Drosophila melanogaster: one gene and its partners. Changing the gene in region 1 together with any one later gene gives a genetic interaction. Each region holds a gene or a part of one and is shown in the gene's direction. Other genes may lie near its edges.

Region 1 (5,701 bases):
CATCGCGCGCTTGGTGACCAAGACTGCCTTCGCGATGCACGTACGGGATAAGCAGCGAAAATATTATGAAGCTAAAAGAATCAATAAAAGATTTATCAGACACGGAATATACCTTATAATAAAGTCTTAGAATATAAATATATAAATCTTAGAAGATAAATGGAACAAGTCAAGTGGATTCATCACTCGTAATTGGAATATTACAGGGTCACTTTTTTAGTATTGCCTTATCTGGCTAATGTCGCTATTACGCGATGAATCATTACACAAATATTCATTTATCGCTATTCTTTTTTATGCTGAATGAATTGGAATGTTTAAAAGTTATGAGCTTACTTGGTAGTGGTTCCGCTTTTGGGTGGCGCCACGTTGCCATTTAATATCTGCTCCTGCACCTGCGTCTGGGCGGAGAAGAAAAAGAGGTCCAGCAGGTGGACATTCTGCATAAGAACCACGCACAGCTGGTTCAGCAGGATCACCAGGCGCTTCTCGAGATCGGGCGGAAAGATCTCGCCCTGGCTGGATGCCAGTATCTTGAGCAGGGGTCGCAGGAAGGGCTCGTGGCAGAGCAGCTGGTGGCGCGAGTGGCTGACGAGCAGTTCGTACAGCTTCAGCTGCTCCAGCCTCACAGCGTTGGCATACCGTCCCGTGGTGCAGGCCCACTCGTACAGCTTGTCCAGCAGATTCTCGCTGAGCAGGAATTCCAGGCAGGGCGCCGCAGGCGGACCACTAGCCTCGGCCGCCGGCAGCGAGACTTTGTTGCAGTGATGCAGCTCCACGAGCAGCAGGGTGACCATGTAGTCCAAGTGCGAGACCACGCCCAGCACGTCGTCGTGCGAGGGCGGTGCACTGTGCTGGATGATCTCGAAGGCCTGCTGCCAGTGCTTACAGAAGCTGTCGTAGCAAGCGCGCGGATCGCAGTCTGTGGCAGCGTCGATGGGTCGCTGTCGCAGTGGGCCGACGTGTCCGACGGAGGCAACGCCTCCACCGCTGCTCTGGCGCAGCCACATCGTTGTCGGTGCGGTGTGTGTGCGATTCGGTGGCTTTTAGTGGCGCTGGTCCGCTGATAACTGCTCCGTGTGCGTTTCGTTTGGCATGAATTGGTGGTGCTGGTGCTCTGTTATCTCTCGTTTTGTGCTTTTGTCCGACTGTGTGAGTGGTGAGTATTTCAATGTTGCTCGCTTTTTAAATATTTAGAAGCTAAAAGAAGACGCACTTTAGTTGAATATTCGCTATTTACTTTTCTCTAATGTTCCCAAGAACAACAAGTGACACACTTACGCACACAGCCACACACACACCTGTGTACGTGTGCCCACCTATTTGGGCACTCACTGTGGTTGTTGTTGCTGCTGCTGCTCGCTCACCTGATGAATTTAGATTTGATCATCGTCATCGTCTCCGCTGCTTTCCGCTCTCCGTGCATCGTGCATCTACACCCATTACTGTTTAGTGGCCCTTCTTAGATGGGTTTTCACGCTTGCAGCATTTGCAGCGTTTTTTTTTTTGGCACTTTGGCAATTACAATTACAAATACAATTAAGTGGTAGTACCAACACTTCCGCAGATTTGCGGACTAGATTTGCGTTCTTGCAGCACGAAATTCGCGCTTTTGGCGCGGGTTTTGAAGTCAAGAAAGGGAAGGCAGTCCGGCCCGCACTTTATTGCCTCATTTTGCACTATTTTCGTAGTGTTTCCAAAGCAATTCTGCGTAAATATTTACAATTATATCTGCACGGAAATAGAAAGTTAGCGATGAGCAGCTATCAATATAACATATCGATGTTTCGATTATACCTGAGATACATCGGGAATTTTTGACATCGGGGTGTAGCAATTCCATTTTAGTTTTATTTTTATCTAATTATCTATTCACTTTTAAAACAGCGTGCTATGATCACAAGTATTAGTTTGATTAAATGCGTTCTGTTTCATTATCCCAGCGTTCCACTTACCAGTATTTCTTATCGCCTGTGTGACCAGACTTCCGCGCTTCTATCAGCTGTTCGCGCTACCGCCATTTGAATTTAATGAAATGGTAAATACAAAAATTTGATTTATTTAATTCCATTTCCCTAATCATTTATTCCTAAAGCGGCGCAGTCTGGCTCCCAGCCAACGTGGACCACTGCGTCCCGAGTCCCGTCACTCCTTCACGCCGCCACTGCTGAAGAAAAACAAGCGATCCTGCCAGCAGGAACTGGAGCGAGAGCAAGAACTGGACAGAAGACGACTGGGCGCCCTCCGAGATGCCAGCAACACATCAGAGCTCCCACTGCCTATTCGCTTCACGGCGAACAGCGAGTATGAGTTGGCCATTGCCAAGGTTCTGGCACGGAAGTTCAAGGTGCCCATGGACAATTACGTACCGGATTACGGTGGTAAACGGGTCCTGGGCGTGCGGCGCTGCATTTCCCGACGACCCCTACACGATCCGATGGCCTGCAACGCCTTGGTACTCTTCCATCCACCCGCCTACACAGAACACGAGCGCATGGGCATGGATCCGACCAAGGTTCTGGTGCACGTCGTCGTCGATCCGCTGCTGAGCAACATATTGCGGCCGCACCAGCGCGAGGGAGTGCGTTTCATGTACGAGTGTGTGGAGGGAAAGCGGGGCAACTTCAATGGATGCATCATGGCCGACGAAATGGGTCTCGGGAAGACGCTGCAGTGCGTAACGCTGGTCTGGACACTTCTAAGGCAGGGGCCCGAGTGCAAGCCGACGATCAACAAAGCCATTGTCGTGTCTCCATCATCGCTGGTTAAGAACTGGGAGAAGGAGTTTACCAAGTGGCTTCACGGTCGACTCCTTTGCCTGCCCATGGAGGGCGGGACCAAGGAGAACACCATCCGAGCACTCGAGCAGTTCTCCATGACTTCTGCCCGGCTGGGGACACCTGTTCTGCTCATCAGCTACGAGACATTTCGCATCTACGCGGAGATCCTGTGCAAGTACGAGGTGGGAATGGTGATATGCGACGAGGGACATCGCCTCAAGAACAGCGACAATCTGACGTATCAGGCTCTCATGGGACTGAAGACAAAGCGACGGGTCTTGCTTTCCGGCACTCCCATCCAGAACGATCTTACTGAGTACTACAGCCTGGTGAACTTTGTAAACCCGGAGATGCTGGGAACGGCGGCCGTGTTTAAGCGCAACTTCGAGAGCGCTATTCTGCGGGGCCAGAATACTGACTCCACGGAACAGGAGCGACAACGGGCCATAGAGAAGACACAGGAGCTGATAGGTCTGGTCGATCAGTGCATCATTCGTCGCACTAATCAAATTCTAACCAAATATCTGCCGGTTAAGTTTGAAATGGTTATCTGTGCGAAACTGACGGCGATTCAACTCGAGCTATACACGAATTTCTTGAAGTCTGATCAAGTTCGACGTAGTTTGGCGGGTAAGTCATTAGGCAATACTACCACAACATTCCTACCATTTACAATTCCCTTCAAGATTGCAATGAAAAGGCTTCGCTTACGGCGCTGGCAGACATTACAACGCTTAAGAAGATTTGCAGTCATCCGGATCTCATATATGAGAAGCTCACTGCGCGGGAAAAGGGATTCGAAAACTCCCAAAATGTGCTGCCTAGTAATTACAAACCAAAGTACGTCGCCTGTTGCGCGCGAATAGCAATGGCTATTAATGAATCTTTTGTGTTCCAGGGATCTCAATCCAGAGCTAAGTGGCAAGTTCATGCTCCTGGATTTCATGCTGGCAGCAATACGTGCAGAGGGCAACGACAAGGTGGTTCTCATTTCCAATTACACACAGACCCTGGACTTGTTCGAGCAGCTCGCGAGGAAGCGAAAGTACGGATTTGTCCGGCTTGATGGCACCATGTCCATCAAGAAGCGATCGAAGGTTGTTGACCGATTCAATGACCCGGAGTCTGACAGCTTCCTTTTCATGCTGAGCAGCAAGGCTGGCGGCTGCGGCTTGAATTTGATTGGAGCCAACCGCCTGTTCATGTTTGACCCAGACTGGAATCCGGCCAACGATGAGCAGGCAATGGCCAGAGTGTGGCGTGACGGGCAAAAGAAGCCCTGTTACATATATCGCCTCGTTGCCGTGAGTACCTGAATTGGTTCTGCACGGAACTTTCTTTTTCAACTCAAGAAATCTCTTTCAGAGTGGTTCCATCGAGGAGAAGATCCTGCAGCGACAGACGCACAAAAAATCCCTGTCGAGCACCATCATTGACAACAACGAGTCGGCCGAGAAGCATTTCACCCGCGACGATCTGAAGGACTTGTTTACATTTGATGCGAACATTCTGTCCGACACACACGACAAGTAAGAACTGGCTTTGGATACCCTTTAGATCATGATCGTGTAACATATCTTTTCAGGCTCAAGTGTAAGCGCTGCGTTCAAAATATACAAATGAAGCCACCGCCCGAGGACACGGACTGCACCTCGCATTTGTCACAATGGTACCATTGCTCCAACAACAGAGGCCTGCCTGACAATATTCTCGCCCAGGCCTGGATGGATTGCAAGTGCGTGTCCTTTGTCTTCCACCACCGATCGCAGGCTCAGGAAATTGTGCCGAGTGCTGAGGAGGAAGCAACAGATCAGCCAGAGGAAAAACCAGAAAGCCGCAAACGATCATCCACGCCCGCCAGTGATGACAGTGCCGATGAGGACTTCCGTGGATTCTAGCAATTGTTTGCAGTTTATTGTTTCTCGAATTTCCTTTTTCTTCGCACTTAAGTCTAAACTTAAGATAACTTTTTCTGGCTTCCTTTGCAATCCTAACAAGTTATTAATTTAACATTTCAAAAATGGAACCAGCACAAAATGTTAACGTGCTAGGGGTGAAGGCTTCTATAAACTAATCTGGCAATGTAGGAGTCAGTCCAGAAAATAGTTTACTTTTTTGTGAAATACTGATCAATTTCTATACTCTTAACTGGCCGCCAATCGGGCAAAGTAGTAGGTTAACATAGCTTAGGACAAATACAAGCAAACATCGAAATTCGGATTCTAGTGTGTATTCACTTGCTTAAGCGCAAAGTTATTTAAGTTGGTTACTTAAAATCAACAGCCATCTCCGCTAGCACGTTATTCTCTGCACATAAAAAGCAATTTGGCGTATAGCAACGTCCGGATTAAAACCCTGTCAGATACAGATTAATATTATGCGTGTGTATATGTATAAGTATTAAACCATTCGCAGTGTTAACACAGTCAATTGAACACTTGATGTATTCGGGTCTATACATCAATAATTTTATGCTCCAGCTCCACCCAGACGTTGCTCTTCTCCGGCGCCTTGAGGAGCGGCTGTTGCTGCAGCTCGGCCAAAAACCCACCGATGGCCTGATAGTACCTAAAAAGCAAGCACACCCATGGATAAATGGGAAAGTGAAGATTAATTGCCGGCCATACCCGTCCACTATCCAAGTGTCGTTGTGCGATCCGCCGGGGAATTCGAGCAGGCGCTTTATCTCGCTGCCGCATTTGGTATACAAGGCACGCATCATGCGCGGTGGCACTAAGTTGTCCGCAAGGCCCGAAATAAACAAAAAGGGAACCGAACACTTGCCTATCTTGCTCATGGAGTGATACTGCATGTGAAACAACAAACAATAATGTGGTAATGAGATAAAGTAAACAGAGGGCTCAACCGGCGACGACTACCCACCTTATTCTTAAATAATAGATTTGGTATATACTTCACAG
Region 2 (5,871 bases), on another chromosome or scaffold:
TATCCTTTATAGTAAGTGCATTTACTTATATTTGAATCTTATTTAACAAATTCTTTAAACAGCTGGTGGGAAGTTTTGTAACCCTTGTTTTGTTGGCCACCAACCGGACCAATCTGTTGAGCCAAGTGAATCGGGACGAGTCTGCCTGTGAGAGCTTCCATCGCCTCTGTGCGGACGAATGCGATGATGAAACGCTGAGCATGCTCAGTCAGCAGTTAAGTGGATACAGTGATATCAGCAATAGCAATTTGTCCATGCGAACCGCCTCTGTGTGCCACTCACCCGCCCCAACGATTTCCCAGCGAACAATTCAGGCGCCTGCTTCTTTGCTGTCCCTGGACTCGTTGCATCTGTCGAAGCAACGGATGGAACAGCAGGCTTGGTCCTCGAACTATGGAGATGCCTCTACAGTGGTTGCCCCGCGTGTCCAGCCGGCGATGATGTTTCAACAGAAACCCATGAGACCATTAGAGTCCCAATGGTATCGCCATGGACAAAGTAACCTGGCCCAAGGCAATACTTTCACTAGATCCACGCAAAATCTTTTGATGCCATCGCGTTTGCCGTCCATAAACAGGAACGTCGGCGGAGCTGATGTAAGCGCCTGGGTGGCGGCCAATCAAAGTGTGAACCAAGATCTATGCACTGCCAATCTAATGAGACATTACGAAGAGAAACAGCAGAATCAACTTTCCCGCACTTCGTCACAATCTTCTGGATTTGAGTCGCAGCCACGTCCAGAAGCCCAATGCGGAACAGGTGCTGCAACTGTAAGGGACTACGGCTGGTCCGAAGCCCGTGAGAGTCAGCGAAATTTCGCAGTTTTTCCGCCAATGCCGTCACCTACACCCACAATAACGCCTAGTGAATATCAATACTCGAGGACTGCTCTTCCGCAGCAACAGCCAACTATGCAGCCGGGGGATTTACTTAGGAAGTGGATTGAGATTAACTCAAAATCCTCACAGCCAATACACTAATGTGATGTGAGGTCATAAATATCTAGAAAAACTTAGAAAAAATTCTGGAAAAGATCACCGCCAGTTGGGAAATTATATAAATTTGACTTAACTTAATTATCAAATAATTTATTTTTGACTTACAGTTTTTAAGCTTCTTTATTCTACTAAAGGTTAGTCCTCCCTTTACTTATAATCGACTAAATAAGTAGTGTTTAGCTAGACATTCTTTAATCTGTGTAGCTCTAAGTTTCGTGGTTTTCAATATAGAACTTTTCAGGGAATTGAAAGTCAGGGAGTAAGATTAGAAGGTAATATAAATACTACTTGATTTTAAAGGGAGAATAAAGCTTTGGTAACTAAGTTATTTATTCATTGAAGACAATCATTCAAAGTTTGTTTTTATCGTTAACTAAACTTTTGTGACTCACATAAACTAGATAAATTGTTTATTATACAAATACATATTTTTTGAAATAAAAGCAAAACAAAAAAATGGTTATTATTTTGTTAAGTTAAGTGCAGTTATAAGAAAATATTCATTATCAAGTTAAATTCAATAATAACAGTGACCTGTCTTTTTGGTTGTTTTTCTCTTTTAAAAAATGTTATATTGTTCTCTTAGATTTCAGAACACGCTCTCTTAGTGCAGTGCTGCCAGTTGGTTAACGGCGCGGTGTAGAAATCAAAGTGGCCGTTTCCAAAGTCGGCACGGCACTTCAAAAATTCATACATTTGCCCCTGAAAGTATGTTGTTTATGTTGTTGTTAATATTGAACAAATATATTATGAATTTAAATTATCTTAATAAACAATTATGTATATAAGGTTGTGTAGCCTCTAACCATTCTCGAATGTAAAATTTAGCTGGTTATTTCAAATTACACATTAATCAATCAGTCTGTGGGCGCGGTTTTTAGATGACAGCTTGCTGTATATTTAGTATATAAGTAGTAACAGGAGAAAAAGTTTAGTATTTTTGAATACCGTCCAGCTGGCAACACTGCTACAATATGGCTGCCGTATCGTAATGTGAATTTTTTTGAGAGACCGAGACGTACATACTTTTGTTGCTGCCAAAGTGGATGTGGACGGAGGAAAATAGTAATATTTAACTGCGTTGCGGGAGCGGGACAATCGTCGTTTGCCAATTGCGGCCACCGCTTATGTCGGCTAATCGGCTATCAATAATATTAGTAATCGTATCAATATCAAGTTACCCATTACCCATCGCGGATACACATTAGTTTTGCGAAGGGCAGAGCAGCGCAGAGCATATAGCGAATATTTCCATTTGTTGCCAACAAGACTGTCGTTGTTGTTGTTATTATTGTGGCTTTTCAGTGACTGGGGAGAGCAGTGGGGGTGCGTTCGTAATCCTTGTGAAAAATCGGTGACCGTTCTTCTTAAAAAAAAAGCGAAAGAAAAAACCATCGCGATAAGAAAATATAAGAAAGAAAAATCTGATTGAAAACCAAAGAGCTGCTGCTACTGCTGCTGTGCGAGTGAGAGCGGTCGAGAGGTAGCTAGTGAGCGAGTGAGAAAGCTATGTATTGCATTTGCATTTCGTTGTGTGTGTCGTCGTTTTCGTTCGGTAAAAGTCGGTAAAAAGCAGAGCCTTTCCAAACCTAACCACTTTCGGGTAAACGGAATCGGAAAAGGAACTGGGAAAATCGAAAGAAATTAAATAATAATATGCGTTACATCGATGGCAACAACAACAACAACAGCAGCGACCATCAGCTAGCGACTCCTCTCTGAGCGAGAGAGCTAATAGCTTTTCAGCTTTAGCTTTTCTTGGGCCAATCGGAAATTGTATTTCATTGGTAAGTACAAGAAGTGGCAGCACCATAACCAGCAAATCAATACTTGGGCTGCCATTCCGTTTCGTTCCGTTCGTCAGTTTTCCTAGCCCATTCGTTGGCGCTCTCTCTTTTCCGTCAGTCTCTCTCTTTCTCTTCCCCAAAAGAGAGCGAAAACCCCCCGCCCGCCCACACTCGGTGTATGTGTGCTTTGTAATAACGAGTACACTTTTCTGCACATACGAAAAAGAAGGAAAAAAGAATAATAAAATAAGAAGAAAAAATGAAAGACCGAATAAAGAAATTCACATAAACTTATGGCACTCTCCCTCGCGCTCTCTTCATTTGCAACTAGTGTGCGTGCTTAAATTTTTAAAAAACAGTTGTTTTCACCGAAAGGGAATTTTCATTTCGATGGTATATTTTTAGCCAGCAAGCTCCTTTCGGAAATTATTTATAACCCCCCTCGAAATGTTTCCACGCAACGATTTACGCGATAAACTTTTACAAAATCAGATATAAGTAAGTGCAAAGACCACTTGATTTTCGTATAGTATGTAAGTCCACGAATTGCTTACGTATTTATGAAATATTACTGTGCGTAGGTCGGTGGGCGTGTTTCAACGTTTTAGCCCACAGTTTTCACTCATTTTCCTGCGGGGTTTCCGCTTGTGACAAAGGCATTCAAAGAACCAACAAGAAAATCCCGGGGGCGTGGCACCACCCATGCAATTAAATTAGACCAAAAAAGTGCTTACACTTTGTATTCTAGAGAATGTTTCAAATCATTGAACATAAACAGAAGAATTCATGCGAATTTAGAACTAATGGAAATTGGGAGCAAGGATACATAAAGTTGGAGGAATTCAAAAATGTAATTGTTTAAAATTTAAGCGTTAGTAACCAAGTTCTTGTTAAAATATATGCCGCTTAATTAAGTTTAAATCTGTTATTCACAAGTAAAATTATATTTATTATTAATTTCTCTTAATTTGGATATTAAAAAACCTCATTTTGTAGATTGCAAGAGTACGAAATCAAGAAGACGTACATATTTGTTGTTAAGAATCCGTTCCTAATATAAGTAAATTGCTAGAACAATGGATGAATTTTCGGAGAATATAGAAAGAATTGCCCTCGAGTTGCTGAGCAACTTGGTTCATGGCAATGCCACTCTTAGTGTTCCCCGAAATTCATCCGGAAACGTGATCTCGGAATATCGACGAGTCAGCTATAATAATCGCGGAAGTCGCCATAGCTTTTGCGTGCTGATTTACATGCTCTCCCGGGTGCACCGATTGCAAGTCCGCGGAGGAAGTTTCACCGTCCGTGGACTATACTATGACAATCCTCTGCTAGTCCGGTCGCAGTCCAGGATTGCCGAAGCCAGGCTAGATGTCTGTCGTATGCTGAGGACATCCCCCCTAAGCTTGGGCATACTGGCCGCCTCCAAGGGCCTGGTGGCAGGTGAGTTTATCTCGAAATCCTGATCAAAGGCTCCCTGCTCATCCGGTTACTCTTGCAGGCGACTTAAGGCTGCTGATGACCAACGGAGACGTTCTGGACAGCAGCTTGTATGGTGGACCTCTGACATTGCCCACGGATCCCGAGAAGATAGATCGAATCGAAACGCTGGCGGAATTTGTGCTAATCGTTGAAAAGGAGTCGGTTTTTGAGAGTCTCTTATCCAGAAATGTATTTGGTACTTTTGAACGACGCTTCATCCTTATAACTGGAAAAGGATACCCCGATTGCTGTACCCGGAGGATTGTCCATCGGCTCACCGAGGAGAACCAACTGGCGGCCTACATTCTCGTTGACGCCGATCCATTTGGCGTCGAGATAATGCTAGTCTATCGCCATGGCTCGAAGTCCATGAGTTTTTCCAGCCAAGGACTAACCACACCTGCGCTGCGTTGGATTGGTCTACACCCCTCGGAGATTCCCGCACTCGGCACTGGAGCGGTTGCCCTGGTTGCCGGCGACAACAAGAAAATCAATGACCTCCTCGCCCGCCACGATTTGGAGCCGGGAGTGCGGCAGGAACTGCGCATGCTGCAGGACGTTCAGCTGAAGGCCGAAATCGAGAGTGTCATCGACTTCCTGACCGACGACTATATACCAAATAAAATCAATCGGAACTTGTTTTTGTAGAGTTCAGTGGTAAACCCCATAAGCCAAATATTATTACTCTTGAAATATTATTAGTTAGTTTAAAATATGTTGTAGGTATAGTAATATAGTAATTAGTTTGTAAAAAACGTATCTCTATAAAGATACCATAAGACTCCTAAAAATAGTACTGTAAAAGTTAGTTCGCGTAATCAGCTTTCCATTAATATTTGAATTAATTAAGATAGTAATTTAATAATTAAATTCCCCATTCATTGGGATTCCGATTTTGTTGCTTATGTTATAAAATGTAATGTTTAATTTCAATGCAGCTTTAATAACGTCAATATAATATTACGACTAATTAATATTAAAGTACCTTAAGATCCTTGCCTTTAGAAAACATAATTTTAATATTTGGATAACGGATAATAGTAATTTACACTCGTAATGTCTGAGTAATCTGCTTCTAGTGTTTCGTATTGAGTGGTCAACTTGATTTTCTGCATTACTTTGTGTGGACGAAGCCAGTAAACTCAAGCAGACAAAGGAGATTATTTTTTTTATTGTGCCTCTAAAGTGTTATGGCTTGAGGTCGGTAATCGGAGCCGGTAATTGGCTACGTTTTTGATAATGGCAAGTGAATGGCCAGTCATATTATAGGTGCCGAAAGATACAAGTAGTCTGCTTTGTTTAGATCCATACTAATTGCGTGCATTTATTTCTTGCAGATGTGAAGGAGTACCACGGATGATAGAAACCCATTGGGCATTTGACTACTTTTAAGCACCGAAACCTGAAAGACTCCCGAAAATACTCGAATCTCACGTGCAGAATCTCTAAGAATCCCTATTGGACTGTTTAAAAATATGTCGACAGCAATGCGCACCACACTGCAGTCAGTTCCTGAGGCCCTGCCAGCGGATAGCGTGTCCAATGGCACAGCATCCAATGTAGCAGCACCGGCGGCGCCAGTATCGAGCGCAACAAACGCGGTG
Region 3 (3,112 bases), on another chromosome or scaffold:
CGCTCCATTGGCCAACTGGGCGTGAATCCGTCCGAAACGATGGAGAAGGGCAAGGTCATACGCTCGACGTCCACACCACTGCACGTGGAGTCCGTGTTCGCCAAGCCCAAGGAGCCGATTACCTTCAATGCTTCCACTGGCGGCCACGTGTCCAGCATCTACCACGAGGAGCCCAGTCCGACACCCGAAAGCAATCCCGTCCAGCAGCAGCAGCAGCAGCAGCAGCCGTTGCAGCAGCGCGCCTGGAAAATGGGCGCCCGCAACAAGATGAGCGCCGCAACGCCGCTGCGCCAGGTCATGTCCAAGAGCATTCAGAAGGCCTTCGTCGAGCACGGCGGCATGATGGTCCACCAGCCACCATCCGCAGTGGTGCAACGTCGCGTGCGCCTCGATCTCAGCGAGCACAGTTCGCACGAGGCAGCAGGCTCGTCCGCTCTGGACCTGCGACTCTCGCCAGCTATGCGGCGCACCCAGAGCGAGTCCAGCGCCTCGGAGGTCAACAGCGGCAGCAGCTCCAGCTACAGCACCTCGCGGAATGCCGATCTATGCAAGCGGCAGTTCTTGCTGTCCGCACAGAAACTCACCACCGAGTCGATCATCATCACGCGGACGAACTCCAGCTCACAGAAGACCTCTTCCACGGTGTACAACTCATGCGAGAGCGTCGAGATCATACGCTCCACCTCGGAATCAGCGGAAGTGTGCCACGTGCCGGCCATAACGCCCATCCGTGTCACCGGTGCCGGCATCAACAAGAAGCAGATCAAGTTCGAGACGCCGCCCAAGAGCAGCCAACAGATGCGATCGAATGGCGAGGGCGATGAAACCAAGGACCAGTTTTTCACGCCGGAACCGGGAACGCCGGAAATTCCAGAGCGTCGTCATCGCCAGGCGATTGTGCCGCGCCAGCTGAGCGGCGAGTTTTCGCCCAAGAAGGATAAGCCGAAGGAGAAGGGGCTGGCGGTGATGGCCCTGATCTCGCCGCCATTGCAGCAACCCAGGGTGCGTCCTCCGTTGCGGGAATGCCGTCAGCAGAGGGTCTATAGCGGCGTGCAGGATGTGGGCGAGCCGGAGGTCGTGGACGCAGAAGAGGAGGACGAGGTGTTCCGCCCCACAAACGCCTCCACGTGCAACGACAAAAAGCTGGAGGCGCCCAACTCCGGTCGCCTGTGGTCGCTGATGAGTTCCATGATGCGACTGCCGGCCAGCTTGCGCGGCGAACGCGAAAAGGACAGGGACAGGGACAGGGATTCGGATAAGGAGAACGCTGGTTCGGGCTCACTCATCCGTCGCTGCGCCTCCATCGCTGGATCCCTGGTGCGCCCCAGTGCAAGGGACTCCTCCATGGAGGACCAGCAGTGCCTCAAGAGAAAGCGCACTCAGACGCTGGACAGCCAGTACTGTAGCCCGCTGTCGCCGTCCAGCTCCTCGAAGCGCTACCGCATCCGGCCCAGGGAGCCCATCGAGCGCATGCGTCGCCAGTAGGTTTTAAGCTTTTGCCTGCGAATCTGTGTTTTAATTGTGAAATTCTTCTTTTTTTTTATCGTTTAATAAATGTTTGGTCTTGCATTAACCGTTATGCGCAGCAGGAGTTGGCAGGTCCAGGAGCTTAGCTCGTCTCATTCAGAGCTGCCAACTCTATCTATTGATTCTGTTATTAATTAGTTGCGCACAAGATCGAAAAGCTTAACGGAGCGCCCATGGCGAAATCACAAGCAGGTCAGACTGTCGAGCCGGAGGCGTCCAAGCTGTGGATCCACTGCAACAGCTGCTGCGCCCTGTTCTGCGATAAGAAGCACACCTTCTTCCTGCTCGCCTGCCATCACGTGTTCTGCGAGCGGTGCGTCAAGGTCTCCGCCGGCCGCACGCCCAGCGACGCGCCCATATTCGAATGCTCCACCTGTCGGCGGAGCGTGCGCGGCCGCCAGTTGACCAACTCGATGCCCAACCACTTCAAGCAGCTCTTCCATCCGGAGCCCTTCACCATCGGCAACGACTTTGTGGAGACGTTCCAGCGCGGCAATCATCGGCACTTCGACAAGTACAAGGAGAGGAAGGAACTGGAGATGGATAAGCTGTTCAAGGACATCGAGGTGGCCAAGTCCGTGTGCCAGAAACGCTTCCTGGAGGCGCAGATGCTGCGCGTGGAGCGCAAGAAGCTGATGCAGAGGTCGCGCTACATTAAGGCGGAAGTCGCCAATCGGAAGGCGGAAATGCATCGGTGCGACATTTGGATTCCATTGAAAATAGTTCCCATTAATGCATTATATTTCTACCCGCCTTAGGATGGCCCAGGCCTACCGAAGCCGCTCGCTGACTTCGCAATCCTCGTCATCCGCCCAACGCTCGGCGCGCGGACGTCCTCGTGGCCGTGGAACAGCCACACAGTCCTCCAGTCGACGCCGATCAACGGAATCAGCAAAGCGGCAGCAAATCACCAGCTTCATACACCCGCCGAACAACTCGTTCGATCTGTGAGCTAGTGCTGATAGGTAAAGCTCTGTTTTACAACCGAGTATATATTTTTTGTAAATAATCAGCTTAAAACAATAAAATGGTGTCATAAGCTTTAAAATAATAAACTGCTAAGTTAACAGCGACCGTTAAGTTTCAATTAACAGTTTCGTTAGGATAACAGAAGTGTTGAAAGTGAATTCGATTAATCGAAATCCATCGATGACTGCTGCACCGATAATATCGCATAAGCATCTGCTCTAAAAACGCATAAAAATTGAATTGCAAGAAGTAGAAGAGCGAAACGTCATAAAAGCGGCAAATCCGGCGCTGTCCGACAAGAACCACAGGGGAAAGCGGATAAGGACATCATGATGAATAGCAAGATCGCCGAGGTAGTGGTGCTCAACTGCCGGACGTGCACGCGTGCCTGCAAGCTGCACAAGCCGCTGCAGGAGGAGATCGATCTGGGTTCGGAGGGCAGCACCACGCTGGCCAGCATGCTAAACTACTGCACGGGACTCTCGTTCGAGCCGCAAGACGGCGCCGCCATGCCGCAGCACATCTGCCTCCACTGCCTGCAGCTGCTGGAACAGGCGTTCAACTTCAAGCGCATGGTCATCGATTCGGACGAGCTGCTCCGCCTGGGCCTGGACGA
Region 4 (5,986 bases), on another chromosome or scaffold:
CTTCCGCTTCCGCCTCCTTTCCGTTCTCCGGTTTCTATAGTCCGTAAGCGAGCGACACGTCACACCTTAAAGTTCTCGAGACTTTCTCCGTACAACGAGATTCCGTTTCAGCGGTCAAACAACTGCAATCGACGAAGGCAAGTGAGTGACTCAGTTGGTTGTCTTTAGTTTATTGTTTACTCACCTTGTTGCGCTATCTATTTCCTTGTTGTTGTTTTTGGAATTGTCTTTTTTCGTGATAAGAACCTTTGTGCTTCTGGTTGGATGCACTTGCCTGTCCCAAAACAATAATAGTTTCTATTAGTTTTAGATGGACGTTTTCAAGGCTTAGGAATATCGATCTTGTCATTGAACATTCAATATGGTCTTTGTGTATTTTATTATCATTTGTTTTATGAGTAAACTCGCCGCACAGGAAAGTAAATAAAAACCGAGCTGGCAAAGTTGGGATAACACTATCGGAAGATGGCGATGATTGCGCTTCGTCCCACTCGCAGCAGCGCTGATAGCCGGATTCCACCGAACATTTTACGCTAAATTAATAAAATTTATTAAAATTCATTTCTTGTTAAATTGAAGAATCTTAAAAAATACTTTTCAGTTTAATTTAAATTAAATAACCTATCTAAAGACCACAATCAGGCATGTTCCGGTAATAGTAATATTTTTTCGATTACGATTTGGCAAAATCTTTCGACTTCGTTTTTAGGTGCTCGGGTTTTCGCGGAATTTTTGCGATCGGAATGTTTTGTAAACAGGAAACAGATGTCTAAGCTGTATTCCAGACAATGGAGCGACCAATTTTTTCACAGTTTTAGTTCCGATGTTCGCACTGCACTTTGTCCATTTAAGTAATTAAATTAAATAGTATTATTTACGAACAGTACTTTCGACCCTCCTTTAAATTAATTACGAATTTTTTTTCATTACATCTTATATGCATTTATACTGTTTATACTGTATTGTTTCACCAATAGTATAGCAGTCTTCCTGATAGCTTTTGTCGACATAATTATGAACACTTGCCAAATCGAAACTTTTTGTTGCCAACTGCAAAATTTTGTTTGTCAAATTTCAGGTGGGGTCAGAAATTACTTTTGTTTAATATAACTAAGTCTAAAAATGATCTTATGGTGATGTGGAACATAAACATCAATTAATAAATATCAATAGACCAGCAAACTATTTTTTCCCCTTAGTTAATAAGATCTGATTTGATATAAAAAAGGCATTTACTTTTTAAAAGGCCGTTTTACAAATTAAAATTTTCTTACGAATTCGATTACCGGAGCATTCCCGAATAATATTGTAGAGAGCAAAACGGGTTGATGGTTTCTAAGGTTTCAACGGCATTACTGTTTTGACTATTCCCTACATTTCAAAATATATCAAAAAGAAAATCCTAAAATGTACAGTAGAAATTCAGCTTTTTATAGCTTACTTAAAAGTTTCGCAATACTTATTCTTGAAAACGCAACTCAATGTAAGTTTATGTATAAAGTATACTTCTGTATACATTAATACAATTATAATTGTAATTAATTAAATCACTATAATTATAATTACCATGCATATCGCCTACAAACCAAATGCGGTCTGCGGCGAAGGTAACGGAAGGCCCCAAATGCATCGTTCACATTCAAATAAACAAAGCATTCCCCATCGGTATCGTTATCGGTTTTCGATGTCGATAGTCGTTCGTAGCAAGACGCGGTCTCACTGGTGCACATTGTTTTCCGTCGCGTGTGAAAATTGCTGAGTGTATAAAAACTGTGCATACTTAGAGAAAACTTCTGCATTTGGTTGAAAGGTAAGTGCGACTGCTGCGGACGCCATGGAGACCAAAAAGCTTTGCAAAGGCGAGCCTATGGCGATACGAAGAAGTAATTTGACCACTGATTTTATGGGGCTCCGAGCTCAGACGAGATACACATACGCACACATACACACGCTTACGTTTCAAATAGGCACCAGCGAGACGGAAAACAAAATGTCGACCGAATTGTATTTTCCTCTATTACTTTTTCCCACCGATTTGTGAAGGTTTATGCCTTTCGAAGGCTCGGAAAAGTGTGGTAAATTTGTGCTTTCCCAATTAGAAGTTTTTGATTGAGTGACATCTGGGTTTAAGTGCACTTTTTTCTGAGGGCAATCTCCAATATTGATTTTTACAATGGCTGCCGAGGAGTCTCATTCATTTTCCAGGAAAATGTGCACAGAAAAGCTTATACCAAAGTGCATAGGTGATTACAATTCCAAATGAATGATTTTCCAAATAGTTAGTTGATAAATTTACGAATAGAATTTTCTCGCAAATCAATTTTGATCGTCTTTCGTGTAGGTTATCCACTGATGAATACGTATGTGTGTCTTTTTATTCTATTCGAGTTGGTATTTTCTTTTATTTGATAAGGGGTGGGTGGGGGTCGAGCGCATCTTGTTTAGTTTTACTTTCTCTTTTATTTATGCTGCAAACTTCAGCGGGTGGTGCTCCATCCATGCTAGCATGTATGTATGTATTTAGAGTGAGTGTGTGTGAGTTAGTGAGTGAGACTGCAAGGCAATCACGTTTCTTATTCTCAGCATATTTATTTTCTGATCAATTTTTGGCCTCTTTTCAGCACTTTAATATTCTTTCCTCCCCTCTCCAGCATTTGTTTGAATTTTAATATTTAATTGTTAACGTACATATGTACATAGATACATACGTTTAGATACGTTTCAATGACGCGAGGGTTTCAGCAAGAAAGCAGATACATATATATACATATTTGTGTAGCCATTATTTTTTTTCGCTTCTTTGTGAAATTCGCTATGCTGCTGTGACGTCATAGGTCAATTTTTAAAGAGAAAAAATAAACAGCTGATTGCCAAATAGGCAGCACTGTCGTGCGAGCTAGAGTTGCCCTTCCTAAAAGGCCTACTAAATGTCATAAAATAGCCCTCATTGCACTGAACAAAACTCAACCCGGAGAACTCAGTGACGTACTTTTTCTGAATTTTAGGGATTATTACATCAGTTTTTGTATGCTTCCTTCATTCCTGATGCCATAGTATTACTAGCTTTGTCAACTTATACAGCAACTCAAACAACCCATGTGTATGGAAAGAACAAAATATGGTAAGTACCAGTTCATTTCTGAAAGAACTCTTAAAAGCAAATGGAAAATCGCTGAGGTACTGCCAAATTTCTTGTTATCCACTAACCACTCTGCCACGCATAAACGTTTGAGCTCATTTTCATTATCAATAACCTTGAAGGTTGATTGAACTGCGAAAGGAAATATTTTGACCCCCTAGACGGGATATAATTTGATTTCCGCCCCCGGAGCCCCCTGGCAACACCCTCCCCGCCCCGGGAGCCAACCCTGGAGCCGCCCCTACACTTGAGCCGTACAAATCCTGTCTGTCGTTTGATGACTTTGTGTGCAAGGAGAACGAGGCAGTCTTTGTATCTGACTGCGTGCTTCATTTCGTCGAGCTCCGTTTCGTTTAGCCTGCTCTCTGCTCACCGCTTCGCCCACCAACAAAAATACAAATAAATAAATGAAAAGAAGAGCCAAAACACAACTCGGAACTCGCTCTGCGCTTTGTTTGCCTGGCTCTTCTTTCCCTTCCCCCTCCCTCTTCCGTTTTCATCATTCGCCGTGTGTATGTGCGATGGACGAGCGAGTGTGCTGTGTGTGTGGGTTCGCTGGCGCCCGTGTGTGTGTGCGCCTTTGTACATTGAACTCAAAAATTCGAACTCGAGAAGAAAAGAAAAGAGTGAGAACGAGTGGAGACCAAGTCGGATAACCGACCCATCCCCTCCCTCTGGTGCCGTAGTCCACACACCTCATTAACCACCCGAAAAGGGGTCCCGAAGTCGTCTCGTATTCGTCGTCTTCATCCCAACTTAGAACCCTTTGATCAGGTTGCTTCGTCTGCTGACCCAGATGACGTCCATCCCAGATCCAAGACTTACCTAAAATGTTAAGTGAGTGGGACGTAAATGACTCCGATCAAAAAATAAATAATCCGTGTAATTCCTAAGAATGAAATATTACGAGAATGGCAAAACAGTTTATTCGAAATATCAACTGACTGATTGGGTCGTCTCAAATAGGATTAGTGCTAACAAATGGCATTTAATGCAATTCCTCTGAATTAGGGTGTACTATAAACTGTTGAACATCTGAAATATTGAGCTTGGGTTAGCTCTTTTTCCCCTGTTCCATACAAATCGATTTTTATAATAAATCAAAATATTGCAATGACCATTATGCATTGTTGCATTTTTAACAATTGCGAATTCTACAGTTATTGGATAGCCCAGATTTCAGTCTCAGCGCTATGGTTATATGGAAAATGAAAACTATTTTGTATAATATTTGAGATTTAGCGAACGGCAACCCTAAGGGAACGCTGCGTAGATTTGGATGCCTTTTTAGTTTTTGGTTGCCCGGCTTGACTCTGTTTTTTGTTCTTTTTTCTCCCTTTATTTCCTGATCATTACGATCCTGCTCTGATCTTGTACAGTTCTTTGCTGACAAGATGAAGTTCCGCGCACTGATGCAGGATCCGCTGTACATGAAAGAGTTCCAGGCCATTGTGGCCACTTTAACCAAGCTGGCGAAAGATTGTGTGATGATTCTGGGCTCTCGGCAGATGCATTTTATCGTGAACGAGGATCAGAGCTCCGCTGCATCGCCCTTGGTTTGGGCAGGAATTACAGCTGAGGAGTATTTTCCGGAGTATCGCATGGAGGCTGCTCACCCGGATCAGGAGTACATAGTTCTAGGCGTGTCTTCGGCGAATCTCGGAAGAGCTTTATCTGTGCTTCGTGGTGGAGGCGTAAACAGCTGCAAACTGAAGCTTCAAAGAATTCAGTTTCCGTGCATTTCGGTAATAGCCTCGGTGCTTACGTCGTCTTCAACAGAAGCCCGTGAAGTGGTGCACGATGTTCCAGTGACCATAATCCCGGGCAGCGATTGGTCTGCCTACGTTGTACCCAGAGTTCCAAACTCACAGTTGGCTTTGGGCCTACCAAGCCTAAGATTGCTCAAAAGTCTCATTGACAAGCTGAAGAATATATCACCCAGCCTGGAGTTTCAGGTCAACGTGGACGGAGAGCTCAATGTAATAGCCACCTCTGAAATGTCCACTGTGACTAGTCGATTCCAGAAATTACTAATTCGAACTGTGTCAGGATCCCAGCAGGAAGCGTCCTGCTCTGTGGATTCAAGGAAAGCCTCGGCCTTCTTTGGAGCACTTCAACTCCCTAACGAAGAACTGACTATTGGCATTGACCGTGAGCATTCCATCCATCTGCAGATCGATGTACGACAGGATGTGGTTCTGCACTCTATTCTGCCAGCTGTTTGTATGTAGCCTAAGAGCTGGTATGTTTATCATAGCTGTAATAAATGCGACTTGATGTATTCAGGTGTAATAAACGTTCTCACTTAATTCTTTTCCAGAAAAACTCGTCGATGTTAATTTAAATTATCTTTTTGCGACCCTATCCGCATCATCATGCGTTATCGCTTGAACAATTATCTCTTTTACAACTAATGTAGAATTTTTCTTGTTAGTAAATCTAGCAGGATTGAACACGTTCTACGATATTCTGCGGGTCATATTTATTTATTTACATATGTATGTATATAAAAACACATTACCAGCGCTGTTTGTTTCTTCTTGCATATTTATTTTAAAATTTAGTTCGCTAGGACCCTTTTGGCTATTGATGCATTACTTGAATGTTGAGTAAAAATCTTCAATACATTTTTGAATGTACCTAATAATTCTTGGAGAGAAGCAACCTTTCACGTCGTTTGCAAGTAGTAATGTTTGCCTAAACGATATCGGGCCTTATCAGTGAACGAAAGTTGGGGCGGCTCTTTTTATCGTCGCTCTTCGCTGCCTGTCCCACATTCGTCAGCAGCCGTGGCCCCATTTCGCGTTCTCTCTCAGAGGCTCTATTTTACTCGCTCAGCTGGATTGC

The links.
Region 2: of okr (region 1) and mei-W68, changing one suppresses a phenotype caused by changing the other (phenotypic suppression), as found in Drosophila melanogaster (2 studies listed by BioGRID).
Region 3: of okr (region 1) and vilya, changing one suppresses a phenotype caused by changing the other (phenotypic suppression), as found in Drosophila melanogaster (one study listed by BioGRID).
Region 4: of okr (region 1) and Hus1-like, changing one suppresses a phenotype caused by changing the other (phenotypic suppression), as found in Drosophila melanogaster (one study listed by BioGRID).

What each region holds. Positions count from the first base shown.
Region 1 is NT_033779.5:2,989,044-2,994,744, reverse strand, and holds okr (okra), read left to right. Parts: upstream 1-1,985; 5' UTR 1,986-2,035; coding exon 2,036-2,038; intron 2,039-2,095; coding exon 2,096-3,410; intron 3,411-3,466; coding exon 3,467-3,620; intron 3,621-3,678; coding exon 3,679-4,084; intron 4,085-4,145; coding exon 4,146-4,309; intron 4,310-4,365; coding exon 4,366-4,678; 3' UTR 4,679-5,151; downstream 5,152-5,701. Other genes in the region: CG3558 (uncharacterized protein), read right to left, coding at 1-71, 337-1,010; Bem46, read right to left, coding at 5,234-5,348, 5,408-5,586, 5,664-5,701.
Region 2 is NT_033778.4:19,454,191-19,460,061, forward strand, and holds mei-W68 (meiotic W68), read left to right. Parts: upstream 1-1,979; 5' UTR 1,980-2,785; intron 2,786-3,781; 5' UTR 3,782-3,861; coding exon 3,862-4,228; intron 4,229-4,286; coding exon 4,287-4,915; 3' UTR 4,916-5,333; downstream 5,334-5,871. Other genes in the region: CG7744 (uncharacterized protein), read left to right, coding at 1-11, 63-980. UniProt on the Drosophila melanogaster protein: Required for meiotic recombination. Together with mei-P22, mediates DNA cleavage that forms the double-strand breaks (DSB) that initiate meiotic recombination.
Region 3 is NC_004354.4:2,725,007-2,728,118, forward strand, and holds vilya (vilya), read left to right. Parts: upstream 1-1,671; 5' UTR 1,672-1,700; coding exon 1,701-2,221; intron 2,222-2,285; coding exon 2,286-2,478; 3' UTR 2,479-2,562; downstream 2,563-3,112. Other genes in the region: fs(1)Ya (female sterile (1) young arrest), read left to right, coding at 1-1,485; dwg (deformed wings), read left to right, coding at 2,826-3,112. UniProt on the Drosophila melanogaster protein: Required for the formation of DNA double-strand breaks during meiosis together with narya and nenya.
Region 4 is NT_033777.3:4,807,807-4,813,792, reverse strand, and holds Hus1-like (Hus1-like), read left to right. Parts: upstream 1-1,696; 5' UTR 1,697-1,810; exon of another isoform or gene 1,811-2,349; intron 2,350-3,005; exon of another isoform or gene 3,006-3,121; intron 3,122-4,518; 5' UTR 4,519-4,533; coding exon 4,534-5,370; 3' UTR 5,371-5,457; downstream 5,458-5,986. UniProt on the Drosophila melanogaster protein: Component of the 9-1-1 checkpoint clamp complex. Involved in both meiotic and somatic DNA damage responses.